2 linked regions of the Oryzias latipes genome follow. The protein of the gene in region 1 purifies or fractionates together with the protein of each later gene. This does not show direct contact. Links are inferred from orthologs where the notes say so. Each region holds a gene or a part of one and is shown on either strand. Other genes may lie near its edges. The genes, in order: slc7a14 and golm1.

What was found.
Region 2: the proteins of slc7a14 (region 1) and golm1 purify together in Homo sapiens (co-immunoprecipitation; 3 studies listed by BioGRID and IntAct, with this or other methods). This does not show direct contact. The link is inferred for Oryzias latipes from reciprocal best matches to the Homo sapiens genes SLC7A14 and GOLM1.

The regions. Positions count from the first base shown.
Region 1 is NC_019880.2:5,381,622-5,386,112, reverse strand, and holds the start of slc7a14 (probable cationic amino acid transporter), read left to right. Parts: upstream 1-1,690; 5' UTR 1,691-1,795; intron 1,796-4,491. UniProt on the Homo sapiens protein: Imports 4-aminobutanoate (GABA) into lysosomes. May act as a GABA sensor that regulates mTORC2-dependent INS signaling and gluconeogenesis. The transport mechanism and substrate selectivity remain to be elucidated.
Region 2 is NC_019867.2:11,007,457-11,011,276, reverse strand, and holds part of golm1 (Golgi membrane protein 1), read left to right. Parts: coding exon 1-74; intron 75-201; coding exon 202-256; intron 257-342; coding exon 343-445; intron 446-1,294; coding exon 1,295-1,418; intron 1,419-2,482; coding exon 2,483-2,624; intron 2,625-2,738; coding exon 2,739-2,957; intron 2,958-3,092; coding exon 3,093-3,257; intron 3,258-3,429; coding exon 3,430-3,527; 3' UTR 3,528-3,528; intron 3,529-3,820.

The sequences.
Region 1 (4,491 bases):
GAGAGGAAGGGGGGTGGGGTTGTTCTGCACCAATGGTCCCAGCCACAACTCAGAAATGAATTTCTAATGAACTACTGTCGCTCTGCAGAAACTATGTCCTAGAAAACCACAACTTTTGTTTGATTTTGGCTGAAAATGGTATAATCAAAACTGAAAGATCATGTTTTTACAATTTTTTCAATGCTTTAGGTGTTTGTTGGGTCTTGCTCTTATATTCAAACTCATAACTGTCCTGTTTGAAGAAGAATTGCATAAATGCATTTTGTTCTCCGTCTTTTTTGTCTTTAGTTTTTTTGATCAAATATATATGCAGATTAATCCAACAGCAGGTCAGGATGACATTTTAACACCACATTTTTTCGTTTGTAAGGATGAATGGTACATCCTAGACCTAGAAGATATTTGTGTCTTGTACTCGTCTAAAACTGCAGGACAGACTTCAGAACAGGTTTTCTAGCCCTCTGTGAGTTTTCCAACAGCTTCCACAGCATTTACTTTGATGTAAGAAATAAAATGGCCCATGCACACTCAACACATGTAGTTACCCACAATGCAGCTGTCATTAAAGGCTATCTGTTGCAAATAACATGACCATCTGTTGAATATTTAATCAGTGCCCATTATTTATTCAGCACAAAGCCCCTGCACCTTTATCATAATAGACCCTCTGCCTGTTGCTAATGAAAAGTGAAGGATTCACTCGTGATTTTTGTGGTTCGGGATGTCTTCCTCCACAAATGTCTGTAGGCAAATCACATATGTAGAAGTTTTTCAATTACTGTGTTAATCTGACATGATTAGAACTGACAGAGTTTTCTTGTGTGACTGAAATCTACTCAATTTGGTTGGAGCTGAGCGATGTCTCGTTACGTTTGTGTGACAATTGTACCAAATGTTGACCTTTACTTTGAGAAAGAGGTCAAATGAAAAATCCTGAAAAAGATAACAGCTCACTTAAAATCTCAGTGGCCTCACATTTGTAATTTCCCTCTTTGCACAGATATTTGCTCATATTCTCCAATTTTTATTTTTAGAGTTTATTACCAAAAAAAACTGACTAAAGATTCTGGGTAATTTAAGATTGTCTGGACATATGCGTCGTTTGTAACCGTTAAAACCTGCTCAACTTAAATAAAATGGCCATATGTTGACATCATAATATTTTGATCTGAAGCTAATGTCACTGTTGAAGCTCAAACACAAAATATCAGTGACAGATGTTCATATTTGATGAAGCTCCAAATATTTGATTTGATGTAATATAAAGTTTCATCATAACATCAGAAAATCACTGTTTATTTGGATGCTGACAGATTTTGACTTTTGATCAAAACATTCTTTTTCTCGAAATATACAGAAAAAAAGTTATAATGTAAAGCCTGCAAATCTCTTAATCTTCTTGTTTATCTGAAAGCAGTCTGTTGTGTGACCATTCAGGCCAGCCATGCGCGCCTGCCGTGGTGGTGCATGGGGGCGTCTTGTGGTTATGATCTGATATCATGCTCAGATCTGTGTAAATCACGGCGGTGGGGCGGGCACCGGCGTGTCCCTTCCTGCTGCTCCCCAACCGGCCAGAAAACGAACCGGATGAGTAATCCACGGTGTCGGCGGTCACATGTCGTGCAGCGGGCTCCTGAATGATTTAAAGCGTTTTACATCATCAGCCTCACCCTCCCTCCCTCCCCCCTCCTTATCCTCCTCCCTCCTGCACCGAGCAGCCCGGAGATGCTGCTGCTGATGTTGCTGACCGACTGCAACATCCGACATGGGCATCTTCTGATCCCGCGGCGCCACAGTGAGTGTTTTCCCACCACTTTTTCTTTATTTAAACTTGCGTTCCGCGCTTCACCTTCCTCCCCACCATCATCGTCCTATCCGGTCCCCTTCCCCTGCCTGTATCGTCCTCCTTTGTTCTGCTCCCTTTTTTTACGCGCGATGGCGCACACCGCGGCGGGAAGGGGATGTTTGGCGGAATGGGGGGGGGGGGGGGGGGGGGGTCTTACCCTGCCCGCTCTTGCATCCTACCCTTGCGGTGTGTTACTTTGAGAAGGGGGGGGGGGGGGGGGTTGGGGCGGGTGTCGCTTCTCCCAGCGGACCAGAGCTGCAGGAGGAGGAGGAGAAGAGGGTGGCGGGACTGACTCAACTTAAACAGGTTAGGAGAGATATTTGGCGCTGGCGTTTTTTTTTTTGCAGGTGAAATATATATTTGTTATTATTTTTAATTAGATGAAGAGTAAAATCTCGGAAACAAAGAGGATTGTAGCTCTCTTATTTCTGATCCTCCAAAGAGCGCAGGCGCTCAGCGCGCTGCTGGGTCTGAGTGCGTGTTGGTGTGAGGACAGCAGCACTCAGACACTGAAAGCCCGAAGCTCTGAAACTGGGCTAATCCCTAATGACATAGCCAGATCTCTGGCTTTCTGCTTTTTTTCCCATTTGCTACAAGCCTTTTTTTCCCCCTTTACTTCTGCTCTTCTCATCTCTTCAGTTTTGATGATGTCCTGCTGCTGAAAACAAGCATCAGAAAACAGCTTCTGTGGAGGCTGGACGGGCCTGTCACTTCTCAACAGGTGTCTACACTAAATATGTCTTTTAAGACTAGACTTAAGTCGATTTACTCATCCTTTGCTTTTTTCTGTTTGCATAGATCTTCTACCAGTAAATCGTTTTTTATATGACTTTAGAAGATTTTGCATTTTCAAAGATTAAAATAAGCAGCTTCTTGTTATTTTTGCACACTTTTTTTATTCAATAAGGATAAAGAGAAACGCCACGATGGTGGAGCTGATGGCGTAAAACAACATCATTAAAAGGCAGACGGTTATATAACGAACCAGTTTGGCAACTGCAGAGTGTCTCTCTGAATATTCCTCACAGAAACACAGCCTGGAAAGAGAGAACAGAGAGACACGTGCAAACAAATGAATGCAGAAGCTTTAAGGCGTGGACACTGTCTGCTCGTGCCTTGCTCTGTTCAGCATCATTTCAACTTAAAAAAAAAACAAGCTGCACTCCTCCACAGAAAGGTGTTTTTTTGTAGTATTTTATAATTTTTTTTAAACTATATTTTGCATTAACTGATACTTCAGTTGTTTTAACCCTTGTGCTATCTTAGATGACCCCACCCTTACATTGACGTGTTCTCCCTACCATGACAAAGGTGGATAGATTTCATGTAATCCATGGACACCAGTGAAGATCACAAATCATTGAAGAAAAAAGGTTCAGAGCACTGTCTAGTGGGTCTAGATGACCCAACTCCCAATGTTAAAGTGCCTAGGATAGCACAAGGGTTAAAGATGCAAAAGCCCTACAGACTACACCAAACCAAAACTATGGTGGCCCTAAAGCACAAATCACATCTACAAATCACTCGACTCAAAACCATTTTAAAAATCACGACGACAATTAAAATTGTGAAACAAATAATAATAATTAAAAAAAAACAGCAAAATTACATTTTAGAAATCAAAACACAATTCCAGAAAGTAAAACAAACACTAAAAAGTGAATCAGAATAAACTGGAAAACAAAAGTAATTTCCAGAAATCAACATGAAATGTTTAAACATAAAACACTGGTAAAGGACTTTGCTGATTGGAGGATAACATTTGACTTTTGAAATTTTTGAATGTGTCTTCGATGGCCGCTTGCTTACAAATGTTTTATGGATAGTACAGAACATTTCCAGTTTTGCTTCATGCCAAATAACTTTCAATGCCCCACAGTACCGTCTTTTTCTTATTGTGCTTCATTTTGTTTCTTTGTGTTTCTTTTTTTACAGAAACCGGAAAAAGTTGTTAGTCCTGAAAATTTCCGTTTTTGGAAATAATGTTATAGTTATAGTTTTTTCTTTTGTTTTTTTTGTTTGGATTTTTCAATTGTTGTTGTGATCTTTAAAAGTAGTTTTTGCATTGATTGATTTGTACTTCAGGACCGCCGTAGAAAAAGTGTTAAAGGTGACTAACTGTTTTAACTGACATTAGCTGTGTTTCCAGTGCACACATTTGACAATTTTATTGAGATGCTGTAAATGTAGAAAAATCCCCCCCACAATTTCGCAATAACACTGTTAAATAATAATTATGGGATTAAACACGAACCAACTCGCTTGTTAACCCTTGTGCTATCCTAGGCACTTTAACATTGGGAGTTGGGTCATCTAGTCCAGTGTTTTTCAACCTTTTTTGAGCCACGGCACACTTTAACCTTGACAAAAATCCCGCGGCACACCAGCATCCCAAAAAAAATAAAAAAGCAGAAATTCATGGTCTGTATTGATCGACAGACCCCCCCCCCCGCCACAATCTCACGTGGATTTTTGTGATAATTGTGGTAGAAAAAGCAGGAAGTTGCTGCTGTTTTTTCTAAGAGATGAAATAAAAGTTAAATTAGAAAATTTAGAAACTGTTTGTTTGTTGTGGTTTCAAGACGTTTCACAAGGTCGACTCATTAGGCGCTGTCCCTTTAAGCCAATGCATCATGGGAGATGTA
Region 2 (3,820 bases), on another chromosome or scaffold:
ACCAGATTGCTCAAATCGAAAACTTTTACAAGAAGAAGCTGGAGGGAGTTCAGACCACCTGCAGCCAAGAGCAGGTGAACACCAGCATCATTCTGAGCTGAAACTGAGAATTCTAGGGCTTCGGAAAATGTTTGGAATCCGAGCAACAATAGGATCCTGAACTGTCAAACTGCTGTAATGTCGCTCCATCGTGTCTTTTAGGCCACAATGCAGCAGAATGTTTCCTTCAGTACCAGAACCATAGAGGACCTCAAAGGTAACTTTGAAACCACTTTTTTCTTGTCTCATTCTTTGTTTCCTATTTTAACATACTATCCCACCTTGTTTTTTCCTGTCCTATAGTTCAACTGAATCAGTTAAATGATGACTTGGGGAAGGTCCAGAAGGAGTTGCAAAACTGCAAAGACAACGTTGAAACACTGGACAAAAAACTCACATTTGACATGTAAGCCGAAGAAATATTACGCGGAAGGCCTTTTCCATGTATTTTATTTTTACTTCATATGGTTCAGTCTGACAACATTCATACTCTCTGCAAACAGACACAATGAAAATGCTGCAGGAACTTGTTTAGTTATGTAGATAATCATTACTTGTATTCACCGAAATGGAAAGTAGATGTGTTTGGCCTCCAGAACACTATGTCTACACAATCTCCTGCTGCGTTCGCTCACACAGTAAAGCTTGCAATTGAATTTCCAGAACAAAAGACCCCTGTACTCCGCCCGCCTGTTTCATAAATGTCCCAAACGTCTGACAGACAGGATGGAGACTTGAATGGATCTTAACTTTATTTCAGGGGAAAAGTAGTTTTCTGGCACAAATTTTAGACACGAGACATTTTCCATCTGAAAGAGAAAAATACTTAAGAAAAATAAAAATAAAACACAGAGTAAAACACACGTACTACCACAGACCTGATTTCCTGTTTTCTGATTTCCTGTCTTCATAATTTAGGTCGTGCTATTTGTAAAACTCGAACGTTTTTTTCATCAAACTGTGTAGAGATGTTCATCAATGTTATTCAAGGTGTAGATTTTTATTAATTTTTAATATTTTATTTTAAAAAATGTTAATTCTATGCTTTACAAAATAAAAAGCGGTCATGATTATTTAAGTTAAGAGACTTTTTAAATTTTAAAAACATGCAGTTTTTTTGTTTAATATTTTGGGGTTCGTTTTCTCCAGAAAAACTGCCTCATTGTTTCTCTCTTTTGCTAGTAGTTGCTTAAGCCTTTACACCCTTTCACACTTCAGTCCAGGTGAACACAGGTGTGTGGGTTCATGTCTGCAGGGCTCACTGTCAGTCCCAGGTCCTTTCTCAGAAAGAGCTGTGCGACGACCGAGTGGCCAAGGCGACGCTTGAAGTCCAGAAGAGGATGGAGAAGCTCATCTCACCTGAAGCGGGCATCTCACCGGTGAGTTGGTTTACATGAGTAACATTGTAAGACTGCATCTCCTCATGACTTCAAATAGATTTTCTGTTGAGCCTCAGAATAAAGTTAGCCCAAAATGCTCGTTCAAAAATTGGGTTGAAGTCTCTTAGCTGAAAAAAGCTTTAAGCTGTGCTGCTTAGATATGGGGAATTTCTCAGAATGTGTTTTGTCATAAGATTTTAAAAAGTTGCAGAAATTAGAATCAAACATAAACTCAGATAAAATCCCTTAACTTTTTTTTTTTTTTTTAAGCATAGTTTGGTAGCAATTTTACAACACGTTTAATGCCAATTAATAAACTACCGTATTTTCCGGACTATAAGTCGCACCGGAGTATAAGTCGCACCAGCCCAAAAATGCATTATAAAGTAGAAAAAAACACAGATAAGTCGCACTGGACTATAAGTCGCATTTTAACTTTCACAACCTTATATGACACAATCATAGCAGACTGTTTATCTCATAATTTCACAGTAATTTTTTTCTCAAACTTATTTATTTATTCTTTTCATGAAGCATCATTGGCTAACTAATACTCTGTTTTCATCCTGTATTTGTAGAAACAGTTTTCACTTTTATTGCATTTCCGAATCTATGAAATCATTGGAAAATAGAATATTATGTTGTTAGCCTTCAAGATCTTACTGTAAAAAAAAGTTTGCTGATTCTCTGAGTCACTTAACATACTCTTAACACTTAACATACCTCATACATCAAATTGACCCAGGAACATCATCTCTGTTCCTCACAAATGAACATAACAGGAGGGTTAACAATGTATTTATTTCAATTTATTTCTAATATAAGTCGCTGCGGAGTATAAGTCGCACCCCTTGCCAAGCTATGAAAAAAAGGGCGACTTATAGTCCGGAAAATACGGTAATGCTTTTCTTTTGTGCATCTCAAAAGTTGGTGCATTTTTTAAAGATTTTAACTTCTGTACATTAGGTGATACCCCATCCTTCAGCAAGGATTTTTGCAGATTTTCTTACTTGTTTTGTCTTTTGAATTTAAAGGAAATACATTTTATTTTCCTTGCAATGCAGGAAAACAAAGTTAAAGAAGAACTGCAAGAAAACTCAACTGTTGTATTGGTGCCAGAAGCTGAAAGCCACACTTCTATCATCTCTCAGCCCAAACTCAATGCAACTTTGGAGCTCCAAACCAATGAAATTATCACCGACAGAGGTATACAAGGGAGAATACTTTCAATTTGTTGTATACTTGTCTTAATGCACTCAATGCAGTTTAGCGTGAAGTTTGAAATGTCACCATTTTTTTCCCCACCTTTTTGTTTTTTAGGCTCTGATGCCTCACTAAGCAGACAGCAGGACAAGAACCTCCTGACAGCGCCTTTACAGTCTGTTCCGCCTGCTGCTGGACTCAATGAAGTAGAGCTGTCAAAAAATGAAGACCTCACAAAGGACAAGGCCGAGGCAGATGAGGTTAAACCTGTAAGCCTGTCTGACAATAATAAAATGGAGGTGATGAACATTCATGACGAGGAAGCCCAGATTGAAGGTATAAAACTCCCGGGATGAAGAAAAACATCAATTAAGGTTTCTTTAAACTAATGCTCCCATAGTGTTAGGTGTCAGATTTACTTTTATCTACATTGCTGGACAGTTCCAACAAAATGCAAATTTTGCTTCTTAGAAGTCGACCCAGGGCTGGAAAACATGCTGATTAGTCAGGAGAAGGCAGAGGATCGTCCGGTTGGTCAGAGGCCTGAGGAACAAGACGAGTATGACGCAGAGGAGCAAGAAGTGGATGGAGTGGATATGGAGAAAGAAAACCAGAGTATGCTGACTGAAAACCTTGGTATGTGTTTGTTTCTCAATTTACATTTTTAAAAAAAGCAAACAAGAGCACAACTGCAGCTTAAACCCCTTACTTTGTAATACAGTTGGAAGACACTCTGAGGAAAAGGATGTATTTGTTGAAAGCGTGAACGTTTGTCTCATGCTTGTTGACACTTTTCACTTTTTGTTAGACAAAGACATGGACGAAGATCCGGCCGACTACAACGGAGACGATGAAAACGAGGGAGAGTTTGAAGCAGACAAACAAGCTGCTCTTGCCCAAATCTGAGGTATGCACTGAAACACGTCAGGGAGTTTTATTGTTTTTTAGTTTTCTTAGACTTCCATTTTTCACAGTTGACACATATGAGAATAAAACATTCTGTTTAAATCATATATATCGCCTGTAAAAAGCATAAAAAATCTCCAAGATAAGGATGTAATGTATTTTTCACACTGAGAAGTGCACCAGATTATGAGGCGCAATCTAAGCAAGAGGAGGAAAAACACGGTAATGCATAAGGTCGATGATGACTACACTACCCAGAATGCCTAGAGGGGCCAAGAAGCAGGTGATTTGTG